Yarrowia lipolytica: one gene and its partner. The protein of the gene in region 1 purifies or fractionates together with the protein of each later gene. This does not show direct contact. Links are inferred from orthologs where the notes say so. Each region holds a gene or a part of one and is shown on either strand. Other genes may lie near its edges.

Region 1 (7,441 bases):
AAGATGTCATTCGCATTACTCGTTGTGTATCAGTGGATGGCAATGTTCATGATCAGTGCCGTAAACAGAAGAAGGCATCATTCGCGTTGCTCATGATGATTGCTTCTACTTATCGGCCTTGTAAGCCCCATCATTCACCGCTCCACTAGTACTGCTCTCCTCTCCAGTCATCCAAGCAGGCATCTTTCTATCATTAATGTCCCCCCTCATGGCCATTCTGTACACACCAGCGTACACATCCGTACCCTCCATCCGTAGCGTCACTTTCCGCGAGTTCCGGGTAATTCTAAACTCCACCATGCTTTGAGGATTCTCCGATCTGTACTGCAGAGGCTCGGTGATCTTTTTTGAGGTGAATTTCGCCGCAATTCTGTTGGCCTTGGAGTTGGCCACTTTGGCAGGCGGCTTTTTGACCATGGCCAGAGGCGACTGGTCGACTTCTCCGGTAGCAAAGACGGACCAGGAGCCCATGGATGCGGCTTTTCGGTTGTCCGAAAGAGTAGTCACCAGGGTATTGAAAGAACGAGTGGGGAGAGCGCTGGAACGGACCAAGGAGATAGGGTCAGCCACAGTAGTGACACTCTGAGTGACAGCATGCAAAACTGTTTGGGCGTAGACGTGATCCATGCTCAGATGAATCACGTGAGGCGAATGGTAGGGAAACACCAGGTACAGGGGCTTCAAACGAGCATCGTCATTGGCAGCGTCATATGGTTTGACACGAACCACAATGACAGGCAGCTCAGGATGACGCATGGCGTGCACGTGGCATCTAAAGGCAGGATAGATTGCCTCACTCATTCGCGTGGCAATGGTGCCAATGCTCAAATCAGGTACCTTCTCTTTACCGACAGAATCTTTCACTGTACTGTAGCTCCAAACCAGCATTTCTGGACGTTCAAAAACGTCTCCCCAAATGTCCAGTTGGGCCAGTTGCAGTAGATTGAGACCGGCATTCCAGTACTTTTGTCCCACGAGCTGCATGTATGCCTTTCGAGACTGCACTCCTTCAGTCAGTTCTTTACGAGCATCGTCCATGATCTTTTCGTACTTGGGACCACCTCGAGCCACAATAACGCCTTCCTCCACTTCATCAATCCCCTCATCGGCCTCAGCGTCGTCCTCGTCGTCTGAGAGCGCGTCCAAGTCGAATAAATAGTCGTCCTGAGAGTTGATGGCCACCAGCGGCAGACAGTCTTTAGACCCCAGCCACAGCTGAGTCAGGTTGTACAGCGTGTTGTGAGAACACTTGTTGAGCGCGTTTCGTCGCAAATTCGTGGTCTGCTTCAGGACCATCTGGTCCCTTAACGTGCCATTGAACTTCATGGTGTATCTTGTGTTGTGTTCGCGTCTCCATCGCATCGCGACCTGCATGCTGGAAGACTATGTCAACATTGGAGATCACGTGATTTCGGGATCCGGGAAAACATCCCCTAGAGAGCTGAGTTTGAAAATACGGTAAGCTAGAGACGGATATCTCGTTGGTTGTAGTGTGTGATTCTCTTCACAAAGGTGATATATATGTTTGTAGCGGTTTTTAGGGCGTGATATCTTGCCTTCTATACACTACATCGTTTTCCGTTATATACTGTCCTGAATTGGAAGTCAATTAGGGGAAAAAGATAGCGTAAGAATCTCCCAGACGAAATCTACATAATGGTTCTCTCAGCTCTGTTCTATGATCACTATGTCTTGTTTCCACACTCCAAAACGCACGATTTCGGTGTGGCTGACTAATCAAGCAAACATACACGCAAGAAAAGTGTCCAAGAGTAGTGAAACGAGCTTCAGGATAAGAACTGTTGATTTTTTAATAAAATTACTTGCAATTTTCTCCCATATTAGATGTTTACTCGTTTACCAATATCACTTCCAAACCGGGGCATCAGTCTTTTTAAGGTTTGGAAGGCAAAAAAAAATATGCATGATATGGAAATTTTCCTGGACCGATTTCGATTTCCATTTACACCCTTTACACCACACAACTACGTTTCAAAAAAATGGTTCGAGACACAAAAGACAAGGTGGACAAGGGCAAGACGGATTTGTTTGTGCGGTCCATCCCTCTGGAGGTGACGAACGAGGAGCTGGCGGACTTTTTCTCACAGGACTTCCCCGTGAAGCATGCCGTGGTGGTGACCAATGCTGCGACCAAGGAGTCCAAGGGGTTCGGGTTTGTGTCTTTCACGACCGAGGAGGATGCTGCGGAGGCGCTGCTCAAGTGCCGAAAGCAGAAGCTCAAGGGCAAGATTCTTCAGATCGAGTTTGCCAAGCCTCGAGAGCGAAAGACCAGAGAGGACCGGCCGTTTGAGAGCAGTGGAGACAACAATACTTCTGTGGAGAAGCGAAAGCCGCGACTAATTGTGCGAAACCTGCCGTGGTCGGTGCGGGAGCCCCAGGATCTGATCAAGGTGTTTTCCAAGTACGGCAAGGTGGTCGATGCGTTTATTCCCCGAGGAGCTGGAGGCAAGATGAGTGGGTTTGGATTTGTGACCATGAGCAAAAAGCAGCATGCTGACAAGGCTGTGGCCGAAAGCAAGGGTCTTGAGATTGACGGGCGAACTGTTACCGTTGACTTTGCCATTCAGAAGGACAAGTGGCTGAAACATAAGGACGGAGAAGAGGTCGAGGACGAGGAGTATGACGACGACGAGGACGAGGTCAAGGACGAGGTCAAGGACGAGGACGTGGATACTGAGGTCAAGGATGAGGTCAAGGAGGAAGATCTCGATCTGGATGAGTCCAATGCCGATGTTGCCGAGGGTGACGATGATGACGAAGACGAGATTGAGGTGGATGAGGAGGAGGAAGAGGAGGAGGATGATACTCCCAAGGTCAAGGCCCAATCCAACTCCTCGACCGTTTTTGTGCGAAACATTCCTTACGATGCCACAGCAGAGTCCCTCAAGGAGCACTTTGAGAACTTTGGTGCTGTTCGATACGCTCTTCCTGTCATTGACAAGACCACGGGCCAGCCCCGAGGAACTGCCTTTGTTGCGTTCGAATCATCCGACGACTGCGACAAGTGTGTTGAGCGAGCTCCTGCTGCAGCCACCACTTCTCTGCTTGTTGCTGATGATACCGACCCTCGGTACGTGTTTGAGGGCCGAATTCTGGCCGTCACTCAGGCTGTCCAGCGAGAAACCGCCAACAAGCTGTCTGAACACAATTCGAAAAAGCGAGCCGAGGCTCTGGGTAAGCTGCCCAAGGAGAAAGATCGACGAAACGTCTTCCTGATCAACGAGGGTCGAATCGGCGAGAACACTGCTCTGGGTATGACTCTGCCCAAGGCCGACATGGAGCTGCGACAAAAGTCATACGACCAGCGAAAGAAACAGCTGAACGGCAACCCCAGTCTGCACGTGTCCCTGACTCGTCTGGCTCTGCGAAACCTGCCCCGAGCTCTCAACGCGAAGGGTCTTAAGGCTCTGGGTCGAAAGGCCGTGGTGCAATTTGCCACTGAAGCCAAGGAGGGTGCTCGACAGCCTCTGTCCAAGGAGGAGGCTATTCGGTCGACCAAGGCTCGAACCGAAGAGGCTGCCAAGTCCAAGCATGGAGTGGTCCGACAGGCAAAGGTGATTATGGAGCAGAAGGAGAGCGGAGAGCTGGGCCGATCTCGAGGATATGGTTTCCTGGAGTTCCGAGACCACAAGGCTGCTCTCATGGCGCTGCGATGGCTGAACGCTCACGAGGTGTCTACTGAGGAGGTTCTTGAGGGCTACGAGGAGAACGAGCGAAAACACGTTGATCTTACTGGTTCTTCGCGACGTCACCTGGTGGCTGAGTTTGCAATTGAGAACGCACAGGTTGTCAAGCGACGAAAGGAGACTATGGCTCGAATCAACATGCAGAAGAAGCGACATCGGGACGACGAGGGAGGAGCGGACGAGGGTTCTTCCGAACACAAGCGACCCCGACGAGAGGGAGACCGAAGAGACCGAGGAGACCGAAGAGACCGAGGAGATCGAAAAGACCGAAAGGGTGACCGAAAGGGCAAGGGGGGAGACAAGAAGGATGAGTCTCGACAGCCTGAAAAGGACAAGAACCTGGAGCTCGGAAAGCTCATTGGACAGAAGCGAATGCGAAAGAAGAAGGGAGGAAAGTAAGCGTTCCTTCAAGTTTGAAGGAAACAAACAGTGTTGTTGATAGACTAATTAACACCGTAGAGCAGTGGAGTATGGGCTCGCTGCTTCTGCATTAGTATGATAATATAGAAAATGAATGCCTAAAGTCTATGAACGAGTAGGGTGACAGAGAACTAGAGATGCAACAAAAGTACATTATGCACAGTATATACTGTAGTACAGTACATACAGTAGTATGTCTCGCTCCAAGGGGCAAAAAGAAAAGCCCGACGTGGGGCTTGAACCCACAGCCTTGAGATATTCTCAAATCTGAAATACAATGGACTAAGAGTCTCACGCTCTACCGATTGAGCTAGCCAGGCGGTGAAAAAGTGCGAAACTTTGGTCAAGGGTATCGAAAAGGTGTTTAGTCAGCGGGGGAAAAGGAGGAGAACGCAAAAATGCGAGAACACGATGGTTATGTGCTTTTCTGAACACCCTAACCCGGGTCCTATGTGCGGGTATAGCATATAGGCTTCAAGTAGCTGAAATGTATTTCCCTAGAATAAAAAAAATGGCCAAGAAGCTCTAGACTCAAGGACTGAAGCGAAATTGCTCATTCGCGATCCATTCACTAGTGTAAAGTCATTCTCACGGCGCGATCGATGGGCCGAGTTTCGGGGTATGAGTTGTCGTGAGTAATATAGTTAGAAATTAGAATAACAGCTTAGATCCATCAATTAAATTCAACAAAGTTACTTATATTTCTCAGGTAAAAATAGTTTTTACAATCAACGTGTCTCTGGGCAAAGATGGCCAGAAAGAGCGGACTATTCACGTCGTAAAGCCATTCCATCGATTACCGACAGTGATCATCACCCAGATGCCAGATACTCTACATTTTTCGACCCCGCTGTCATAGCTCCTTTGTAAGGGTGACTTTAGCGGAGATTAAATGCTATAAAATGACAGTGGCAATGATAAGGAGTGTAGGGCTGCTGGAGCAAAGGGATGTATATAGTGGTATCAGATAGAGTCTTCCAGAGCAGTGGAATTCACTTGTTTGATCCAGATGTCAAAATCAGGCGAGTGAAGTCGACAGTGTACGCAATTACTACTTCAGCAGTCAGCAACGACGATGTGTATTATAGAGAGTGCTGATTGTAGTCACAGTGCGCAGAACCAATACTCTGGAGGGATCCAAAGGGCCAGTTACAAAACAGCACCCAGTGTATATCCAATCAGGCTATTCGTGGCCTCGATATTATTATCGCTTAGATCTCGTCTAGAGCGTTTCCCCCCCCCCCCCCCCCCCCCCCCCCCGGTGGGTCGAATTCTTTTTTGTTCTTTTTTTATTCTGTTTTAGTTCTATCGACAGGTCAAAATTACATGTTGGGACGGATGAGGATAACGAACTCTATCGAATAGAGTTGATTAGGGGTGCACTCGGTGACGCTAAGAGAAGTGGTAAACAGGACCCAGGTTCAAGCCGCCACAATAACACCACCACCACCGCCACAACAACCACCATGTCTCTGTTTTCGGCGGCCACTACAGCCGTGGAGCGAACGGGCTATGGCTCGCGCTACGACCACATTTTCGACATGTTCCATCCCATAGACGGCCGGATTCCCGCAGTTTGCTACAAGCGGCTTTTGGAGACCATCAACGTTTCGGGCGAAGACAAGGACCGGCTGGCGACGCTGGCAGGATCGATTCTGGAGGGCGGCGACGGCAGCGGAGGCATTCTCACATCGTCCTTCACTCGCGAGTCGTGGCGAGCAGCCCTGTTGCTGGCCAATGTGGCGCAGGATGGCCTGCCGTTCGACGACCCATCGCAGCTCGTCAACGTGGACACTCTGACGCCAATGGACTTTTCCGAGGAGGGCGAGCGGTCTAGCATCAACTTTAGCGCCTCGACAACCGGTAGATCACAGACGCCACTGTTTGGAGATGATCTCGACGACCATAGCATCCAGAGCAGCAGAAGTGAGAGCATCATCCACAACAACGGACACAGCAGGGGCCACAGTGCTCTGGACTGGAACCCGGAGGAACAGGAGGCTCTACAACAGTCACAGCTGTCGCAATCGCAGCTGTCCCGCTCTACAACCCCACCTCCTCTCAACCCCCAGGCCCTGGTTCCCGAGTCCGAGTCTGGAGTATGGACTGCCCCTCCACGACCCGATTTCGCACCCAACAAGGCCGACTCAGTGACACTGGCTATTGTGCCCGAACGCGAGGGCATGTTTTTGTTCCGTCACGTCAACTACTCAATCTCTTCAGTGTCGGGAACAGACCGCATCACGGTCATCCGACGGTACTCGGACTTTTCCTGGCTGCAAGACTATCTTCTGAAGAAGTACTGTTTTCGACAGGTGCCACTTTTGCCGCCCAAGCGACTGGCTGTCAACGGTCATTATCTGTCCTCCGACAACTACTTTTTGGAACGTCGACGACGAGGTCTGACTCGGTTCATTAACCAAGTTCTTCGGCACCCCGTGCTGGGCCAGGATGAGGCAGTGCGAACTTTTGTCACCCTGCGAAACGATATCAGCGGCTGGAAAAAGAGTGTGTTCAACACCGCCCGAGAAGAGTTCAACGGACGAACGATTGATCCAAAGTTTGTGCAACAGTGGGATGAGCAGCAGGCGACTGCTCTATGGGCCGGTCTCATTGTTGAGCTGGACAGATCGCACGACTCCGTGGTTCAGCTGTGTGTTCTTCTGGACCGAGTGGCTAAACGACAAGAGGCCCAGGCTGTTGACAGCGCCAAAATCGCATACAACCTTGGCGCAGCTCTTCCTCCCTCCGCCCGCGTGCTCTACTCTGTCGCCGATGACGGGTGCGTCCAGCAGATCACTCGGGGTCTCAGTCGGGCTTCGGCACGCATTGAAACCGACTGCCAGCTTCAGCAGGACGAGGCACGAGGTTCGCAGGTGGGAGTGCTTGAAGAGGCCAAAAAGTACCGGGAGGCGCTGGGCTCGATGCGGGAACTGTTTGACCGGTTGGAAAAGTACGGAGGCAACAACATCCCGCTGCTGGAGAAGCGGATCCAGCAGAACCAGGGCCGTGTGACTCTGGCCCGGCAGAGAAAGGCGCTCATGTCGGAGATTGAGAAGCTGGACCGCGCCATCAAGATGGACACCGAGATGATTGCGGCCCACAAGAACCGAACGTGGCTGATCAGGGAGTGCATTACGGAGGAGATTGGCCTGTTCCAGAAGACGCAGTTGCAGATATCCAAGCTGCTGCAGGAGTTTTGCGTGGACAAGATCAAGTACGCTGAGCTGTATTCGGACAACTGGGGAGGGCTGGATAATGATGTTATGGATTTGCCAGTCTAACCGTATATGACCATCTACTGGAGAGCGTAA
Region 2 (8,081 bases), on another chromosome or scaffold:
TTTTCGGCACTCACTGTTCCCCACGAGTACGACTTATCCTTCTTCTGCTGGTACTGTACTCGTACACACCAGTGCATGTTCGTCTACTTGTAGTTGTACTTGTAGCGTCGCACAAAATGTCTTGCTTGTACATACTGTGTTGTGCTTCTACGAGTACGACAATAGTCATTGACATCTCTTGTTGAAGGTGAGTACAGCATGTACAAGTAAGTCGCTACAATACTCGTACTAATGTCATTAGCAACTATTTAGTTAGTTGCCTTGAGAACCAGCCATCAAAGCATTAAAACTGGCTAATCAAATTAGGGGGCATAACTCCACGGCTGTTTTAGTCTGTCGTTTGTCTCAGTCAGTGTTGGTTCAACCAAGTACATACCGTACAAGATCATCTTGCTGTGTAACTATAGTATTACTGTACGTGCCCCAAGAAATATCATGGGTAAACATATACCTCTCCGACTGCACGCAAAGCCATGTAAACCTGGAACCTTTTTGATGGAACAAAAATTATTCCAGATTGCACTATCAGTTGAGCAGTTAGTTTCCCCTCATATCAGTTTGTTTCTCATTGCCAAAAGACCCCCCTTCGTCTCACATTGTTAAGCTGCATGTAAGCAGTAAGGCTTATCGCAGCTAGGTGCAGTAATCATCTTCGACACCATCACACCATGATCCGACGAAAAATAGCTGAGAAAAAACTGGCCAAGGAGGAGGATAAGCGCGAGGTCACTTTGGTGGCACTCAGTGGCCCCTCGTCCAGTGGAAAGAGTGTGAGTATGAATCGTTTGCACGAGGTGCAGTCCCCGTTACAGAACTGGCACTAACTTCAGACTCTAGCTCGTCTGCTTCGAGACATTCTTCCCCACGTCATCATCATCCACCAAGACGACTTTTACCTGGAGGACTCGCAGATCCCAGTTATTGATGGAGTTCAAGATTGGGATTGTCCCGAGGCTTTTGATTTCAAGCTACTGTCCAAGGTTTTGAGCCATGTCAAGCAGACTGGAGAGCTGCCCAAAAATTTCAAATCGAAGGAGGACCAGAACTCCCTGGGACCCGCTGCTCTTGATGAAAACGCTGTCGACGCCTTTAAGCGTCGAATGCACCCTTACATGCCTGAGTTTGAGAACAAGCTGATTGTCATTCTGGATGGTATCATGGTCTACCATGACGCTCAATTCACCGAGTTGTTCGATATCAAGATTCTGGTCAGATCCAGTTACGAAAACCTCAAGTCTCGACGAGAAGCTCGATCCGGATACGTCACTCTGGAAGGGTTTTGGAAGGATCCTGAGGGATACTTCCACAACATTGTTTGGCCCGGTTACCTAAAGACCCACAAACAGCTGTTTGAAAACGAAAATCCCAACGGAGAACCCAGTAAGGACGCCACCAGAGAAGGAATCCGAATCGTGCCCACCACCGATTTCGACGTGGCCGAGACTCTTGATTGGGTGTTTGATGTCATTCTGGACTATTACGATCTTGAGTAAAGACCATGCACATATTTATAATCGTGACTCTACTTAATTAATTGTACATACATTGTAATAAATCTATCAGTTTTTATATGTCATTAGTTTATTTCTTGCCCTTCTTGCTCTTCTTGGCAGACTTGAGAGCGTTCATCTCCTCTTTGTAGATGCTATCGACACTCTCGGCCTTTCGCTTCTTCTCTTTGCTGCTGTTGCGCACAGCAAGAGTTGTGCCAGCCTTGCCGGTAGCAGCCTTGGAAGCCCCCTTCTTGGCTCCCTCCCAGTCATCGTCGTTGATCTTGAACTCGTTGAGATCCAAGGCATTGATGAGTTCTCGCTGCTTCTCTCTAAGAGCCGCGGTCACCTCATCTCCAGCCTCCTCAAGCTCGTCAGTAACATCCTCCTGGACCTCGCCAAACATATCCTCCTCGCCATCCAGCTCTCGGACATCTTCATGAAGCTGCTTGGGCATCTGCTCGTCGATGGCAGAAGAGAGCACCTCTCGGAAGTAATTGGACACCTTTCGGATGATTTTGGAGAACATCGCCATGTTTTGAGAAACAGACAGGTTGAGCTCAGCAGACATCTTGTCCATGTCCTTTCGTTGAAGACCAATACCAAGCAGAACAGCAGACTGAACAATAGACAGCTTGATGTTGGCAGGGAACTGGTCTCGGAAGTACATTGTAGCAATTGCAGGAAGCATATCGACAATGACGTGGTAATCCAACAGGTTGTTGGCATAGGACTCGAGTCGCTTCAGATCAAAGGGAGTGAAGAGTCGGTCAAGCTCGGCCTTGGTGACAGGAACTCTCTCCTTCTTGTTCATCGACTTGGCAGACTCCACAAGTGATAGAGCATGAGAAGCGGTGAACGAGCTGAACTCAAAAGAAAGAAGAGTGAGGAACCGCTTGTGAAAGTCACTGGAGAACTCGGCGAGCCAGGAGTCGTCCTGACCCTTGAGACCTCGAAGCATGACACAAGTGTGCTCACCAGTGAGCTCGTTGGCTGTCTGTCGCAGGTATACAGGTACGTAGCCGTTTCGCTTCCAGAACTTGTGCAGCTGGTTGGTAAGACCGTAAGAAACACCCATGTAGTTGAGTCGATGGGGAGGAATCTCGGACAGCTTGTTCAGCAGAGGAGGCATGGAGGCAGCGTCTCGAACCGTGATCTTATCGGTCAGCTTGCCCTTGGCAAGTTCTGCGTCGGTAACTCGGACAATAGACTGGTTCTCGAGAGACGTTCGCTCGGAGATATCTGTGAACTTTCCCTCAAAGTAATCCTGAAGCAAGTCCAGAGCTCGGCCACCGTAGCCCATACCCATGTACTCGGGGTTGGTGGCAATTCTGACGATTCGAGCGCCAGAGAGAGATGCAAATTCGTCGTCCTGGTACTGCTGGGACATGAGCCAGGGGATCAGGTCACCGCTAGATCGCTGGCCTCTAGACAAGGCGTTTCGAACACTGTCCTTTGAAATCTCACCTTCAAGCGCAACCTGGACAACAACCAGAGGCTCGGGAAGCTGGTTACCCTCCTGGGGGCCCAGAAGAACGTAGAGCTGATGAGCGGGAGCATCGGACAGCAGCTGCAGATCGTTGGGAGTGTTCTTGTAATGAGATGCCACGTAGAGAGCCATCATTCGATGCAAAAATGCCTCAGAGACCGCATGGTAGGAGAAGAGAGTGTCTCTGTTGACGGCAAAAAGCTGACACTTGTCAGGGTGAGGAGTGGCAGCATTCTTGGCCTTGGGAGCAATAGTGGCGTCGAGGCACAGCAGCTTGTTGAGCCACTTCTCGACGGGGTCACCAGGAGCGTATCGGATGGGCTCATCCAGCACAACTTCATGCAGAGTTCGGCCCATCTGAGTCTTTCCAGAGCTCTCTCGCAGCTGCTGGATCAGCTTAAGAGATAGAGATCGACCAGTACCTTCGTAACCATTGATGGTAGAAGCCATGAAGACAAGGTAGGGACCAAGCAGTTTCTTCACAACGGGGAGCGGAATTGCGGCAGCCTCATCGATTACGACCAGCTCCGCCTGACCCAGAACATGCGAGTCGCCAGGGACAATGTACTGAATTGTCTGTCGATGGGACTTGAAGATGTTGACTCGGACAATGGCCTTGTTAAAAGCAGGGTTGGTGGACTGCTGGATGTCGTAGTCAACATGCTCCTCATATCCTAGGGCATCGAATCCCTTGAAGATGAACTCGAAGAGGGTCTTCAAGTTTTCGGGGGAAGGAGAGGTGATGAAGATGTTGGAGTAGCCCTGGCCAACAGCGGCAGCAATTGCCACACCAAGAGCAGCCGACTTACCTCGACCTCGGCCAGCGGTAAGAGCAACTGTGCTCTTGAGGTTCTTCTCAACAATCGTATCGATGAAAGTCAGGATAGCCTTACCCTGGTCCACAGTCTTTGCAATCTTAACCAGGTCACCGGTGGGCTTGATGTCAGCAAGAGAATCCTTAAGGTCTCGAAGAGCCTGGACGTTCTCAGGAACATCCTCGTCCTCGTCAAGAGGAGGCAGAGCTTTGACTGTCTTGGCTCCCGAGATGGGGAGAACGTTGAGCTCGTCATCAACAACGAGACACGTTCGACAGTCATTAAGAGACAGCAAGAATCGCTCGTTGAAACGGGCAACAACATCATTGTGGGCCTCAGTTCGGTATCGGGAGTGGATATCCATGGTCATAGTATACAGTTGCTTTACGGAGGCCATGCTCTTAAGCATCATAACCACAATACCTCCACCCTCGACAGTCTCAATAGTCCGGGCCAGCAGATTAGGGGTCAGAGCCTCAAAGTCTTGCAGGATACACATGCCGTAGGTGTTACCGAGAATCTTCTCAGTGTCCTTGTAGAAGCAGTATCGAATGTTCTGCAGAGAGACAAACAGCTCAAAGGGATCCTCTTGGTTGACCTCTCGGATGCCCTGCTTGATCTCCTTCTTGATCTTGGTCTCTCGCTTCTTTCTGTGCGAGGTGAATCCCAGCAACTTGTGTTTGTAGGCCCACAGAACAGACTTGTTCATTCGAATGTCTGCGGACGACATGAGGTAGTGCAGGTTGGGGAGTTGGTTTTTCGCATTATCTCCAACAATGATGAAGAAAGAACGCTGCTTTTCCTGGACTCCGTTTCGGATCAGAGCCGGAATTCGGGGGTCGATTTGCTTCTTTCCCATTGTGAGTGTGTGTATTCACTTGGATTCCTGCAGGCGAATTTCTCTATCTAAATTTTGTCTAAAATCCAGAATTTTTTTAGGCCTTGCATGATCCTGCATGATCCGGTAGGGTAAGGCACCTTGTTGTAAGTTCAACATGGCACACGAACCAAAAGTTGATCACCACCAAAGAAAAAAACATCCCTACACAACAGATAATGTCCTCCACAGATAAGGTCCGATACGACCCGTCGTCTTTCCTGGGCGAGATTTCGGGCAAGAAGGTCAACGTTCGGGTCTCCACCGGCACCACTTTCTCTGGCGTCCTCCAGTCTGTTGATGGATACATGAGCATTGTTCTGGAGAACGCTGAGGAGCTGGTTGATGACAAGGTCGTCGGTATCTATGATGATGACGTTTTTATTCGAGGAAACAATGGTGAGTATAAAAGTGGCATTTGGAATAATGTAAAGGTTGGGCCAGAAGAAGTGGGGATCACGACAGCAGCTCTATAAGCACGATCGCCTTCAGATTAATGCGTGGGCTTCAATGCCGTTGATCATATGAATGTGAATCGATTTTTAATATGATTCCCACGGCTTAGTTGAGGCGAATAGACGACCAACTGGCCTTGTGGGCTTCTCGAGTTATCCCATCTATTACAGATTCAACAAAGATGATATATAACACCACTAACACAGTCCTCTATGTCGCTGCTGCTGACAAATAACTTATTGAGTCTTCTGTAAATATACACGGTTGGTAATGAAGGAATGTCTATTCTATGAGGTGTAGGGTTGTAAGAAAACTACAAGGTCCGCGCTGAAACATGATCAGTCTGGTGCAGCTTGTTTACAACTAATTAGCATCAGTAGACCAATCACTGGTATGTCTTGACCTTCTGCGACTACTGATATTCAGTGGTACTTAGTTATTGTGGGCCCATTTGATTGTACTTGGAACCCACCCTGTACTGTATGTACAGTATGTACAGTGATACCCTAACAGGTGACTCCAATTAACCTATGCATATTTATAACCAACACCTTCCTTCTGTGTCACGGCCCACCCTACTGCAACTAGTTGGCCACAAACACAACGCCCCCGACACAACACGAGCCCCCGCAACCCCCAATTAATATTGATACCCCCACTTTGATTGATCTCGATACCCAGACGCAATATCATGATACCAGCGAGTTAGTTGTAACCTCTTCATACCCCTCATCTCCCACTTCCTACTAACACAGAACGACGATTGGACTCATCGCCTGAGACGTCTCCCACTCGTGTCAACAAGCGAGACTCGGGACTTGCCCTTTCACCATTGTCGTCGCCCCCAGCAGCCACCCCGAAGCTTGCACCCCGATCCAAGTCGCTCTACAAGACAGGTCCTCCCTTCGTGAGTGCTCAGCAGGCAGTGGCACTTTGTTCCGCAGATGGTACACCAGCCACCATCAGACTTCATGCGCGGCTGGATCGCGGCTTCGAAGAGGAGAACGGCAGCTGGATCTGCTACAGACGTAACTATATGTCACTGTGTGCTGCGTTCGACATTGTGGAGCATTCCATCGTTCCAATGACCCCGCCGTACCCTACAGGCCCAGTGTACATCGCTAGTGGTCCTCACGAGAACGCCCAATGTCTCTATTTTGTGCTGCGAGTGGAGGCCCGTGTGTGCTCCACCAACGCTCCCGCCACCCTCATGCAACACACCGCCAAACGAGATCCAGGATCTCAAGCGGCCCCCAGCGACACCATCTTGTTTCCTGGGAAGCTCCCCCCTCATGAGTTCATCCGAGACACTGCCAACGTCCGGTGTCCCAAGAGGCTTGAGGAGATTTTCGACCAGGTTAATCTGACACTAACAGAGCAGGCTAACCTGTCCAAGACACAAGTTCAGTTTCTGGAAACCTACCCGGACGCAAATAAAGCGGCAATTTCCCGGGTCGCACGGTTCGAGCGCCTCCAGTTCCAGTTCATTCACAGAAGTCGCCGGGAAGGGTGCAAGTACCGTCTGCGGGTGAACCTGATGGCAATGATCTCACATAACAATGTTCACGATCTGATTGAGATCGCTTCTAGCCACACACCAGAAATTGTGGTACGAGGCAGGTCTCCTGCAAGCTACACTGAGTCGGGCTCCTGCCAGAAACCCAGTCGAAACAGCTCAAAAAGTTCCAAAAGCTGTTCTTATACTTCTCCTGGCTTGCCCGGATCCCCTACTACTTTGGACTTCTTTGGTCTGGGAACTCAGCTGTCAGAGTTTGATGTAACTGATAATCTTGGCGGTGGAGAGGACCAAGCGTTTGGAGAGTTCAATTGTGAGTCGCCCTCTCCCACTGGTAGCTCACGTGAAAATCGTCTTTATTTGTTGCCTGACTTGTCTCAGAGCCTTTCCGAATCTGAATCTGAATCTGACTTCACTTCAGACGAAGATGTGCAGGTTACCCAGCTGCTTCTCAAGCTCCCTCCACCCCAGCTATCGACCAATGGTGAAAATGTCGAGGTTAAATCTGAGCCCGAAGAGCTCAAGGAGTTTGCGCCACAGTTGACCTTTGATACAACAGGCTTCGCTCTTGAAGCTGGGAGCGAACCGTCATTTGAAATCTAGCAATCTAGCCGTGAATATATATATATATATATATGTTGGTGGCCATGTATCGCGACTCATCAAAGTATAAGTAGCAAATTGCTACTACAAAAACTTACAGCACATTGCGCCACCTGGTTACTGATACTTGTACTTTTGTAATACGGTAAGTAGATTTTGTGATTTTCTTACAAAAGCTGTTAGCCTCTCTTTCATCTCTTACTTTCGGTGGGGAAGATAAAGTTGGTGATTCATGATGTCATTATCGTACTTAGAGTAGCTACAGTAAAGTGAAGTCAATAGTTGGGGAAGTTAGCTACCAACGTGTTGAGTGCATTCATTCCAGTCCGTGGAAACGGCACACACTGTATTCAGCAGTGTTACATAGCCGCGGACACTTTTTTTCCAGGCCTTAACTCTGATCATGTGTGATATTATACACCTCATGGCACGCTACTTGTAGAGCATATTGAATCTTGGTTTAGTGCAACCGTCTGATCGATCCACAGTTTGAGTGGAACACCATCCAACAGTGTAATTTTAACTTTGCAACACTGCACCCCTTAAGGTTTCGAGACCTTTGTTTACTTTTGCCAATTGCGTGTTTCTGAGCCTCTCTGAATTGGGATGGAGGTACTATGGATTCATGGGTTCATGGAGCATTGGGGGAGGTGAGTCAATGAGTTGATTGCACAAAACCCAAGCCCTTTACACCAGTTCTGGGCTGTGTTGTTTGTTAATTGGCAACCTATATTGCGTTTTACTGGTTAAAGGTCAACCTAACCATGGGCCAAGCTTCTGCAAGTGTGCTGCTAGCAATGCATGTCGTGCGGCCGAAGAACAAGTCGAATACTTG

The links. The genes of interacting proteins can lie anywhere in the genome.
Region 2: the proteins of YALI1_A03757g (region 1) and YALI1_B19388g purify together in Saccharomyces cerevisiae (affinity purification with mass spectrometry, with the first as the bait; 3 studies listed by BioGRID). This does not show direct contact. The link is inferred for Yarrowia lipolytica from reciprocal best matches to the Saccharomyces cerevisiae genes NOP4 and KRE33.

Annotation. Positions count from the first base shown.
Region 1 is NC_090770.1:370,270-377,710, reverse strand, and holds YALI1_A03757g (uncharacterized protein), read left to right. Parts: upstream 1-2,000; coding exon 2,001-4,106; downstream 4,107-7,441. Other genes in the region: YALI1_A03763g (uncharacterized protein), read right to left, coding at 106-1,374; YALI1_A03721g (uncharacterized protein), read left to right, coding at 5,594-7,411. UniProt on the Saccharomyces cerevisiae protein: Required for 60S ribosomal subunit synthesis. Probably involved in the processing of 27S rRNA to produce mature 25S rRNA.
Region 2 is NC_090771.1:1,934,187-1,942,267, forward strand, and holds YALI1_B19388g (uncharacterized protein), read right to left. Parts: upstream 4,654-8,081; coding exon 1,582-4,653; downstream 1-1,581. Other genes in the region: YALI1_B19348g (uncharacterized protein), read left to right, coding at 669-770, 831-1,493; YALI1_B19390g (uncharacterized protein), read left to right, coding at 4,851-5,070, 5,883-7,246. UniProt on the Saccharomyces cerevisiae protein: RNA cytidine acetyltransferase with specificity toward both 18S rRNA and tRNAs. Catalyzes the formation of N(4)-acetylcytidine (ac4C) at positions 1280 and 1773 in 18S rRNA.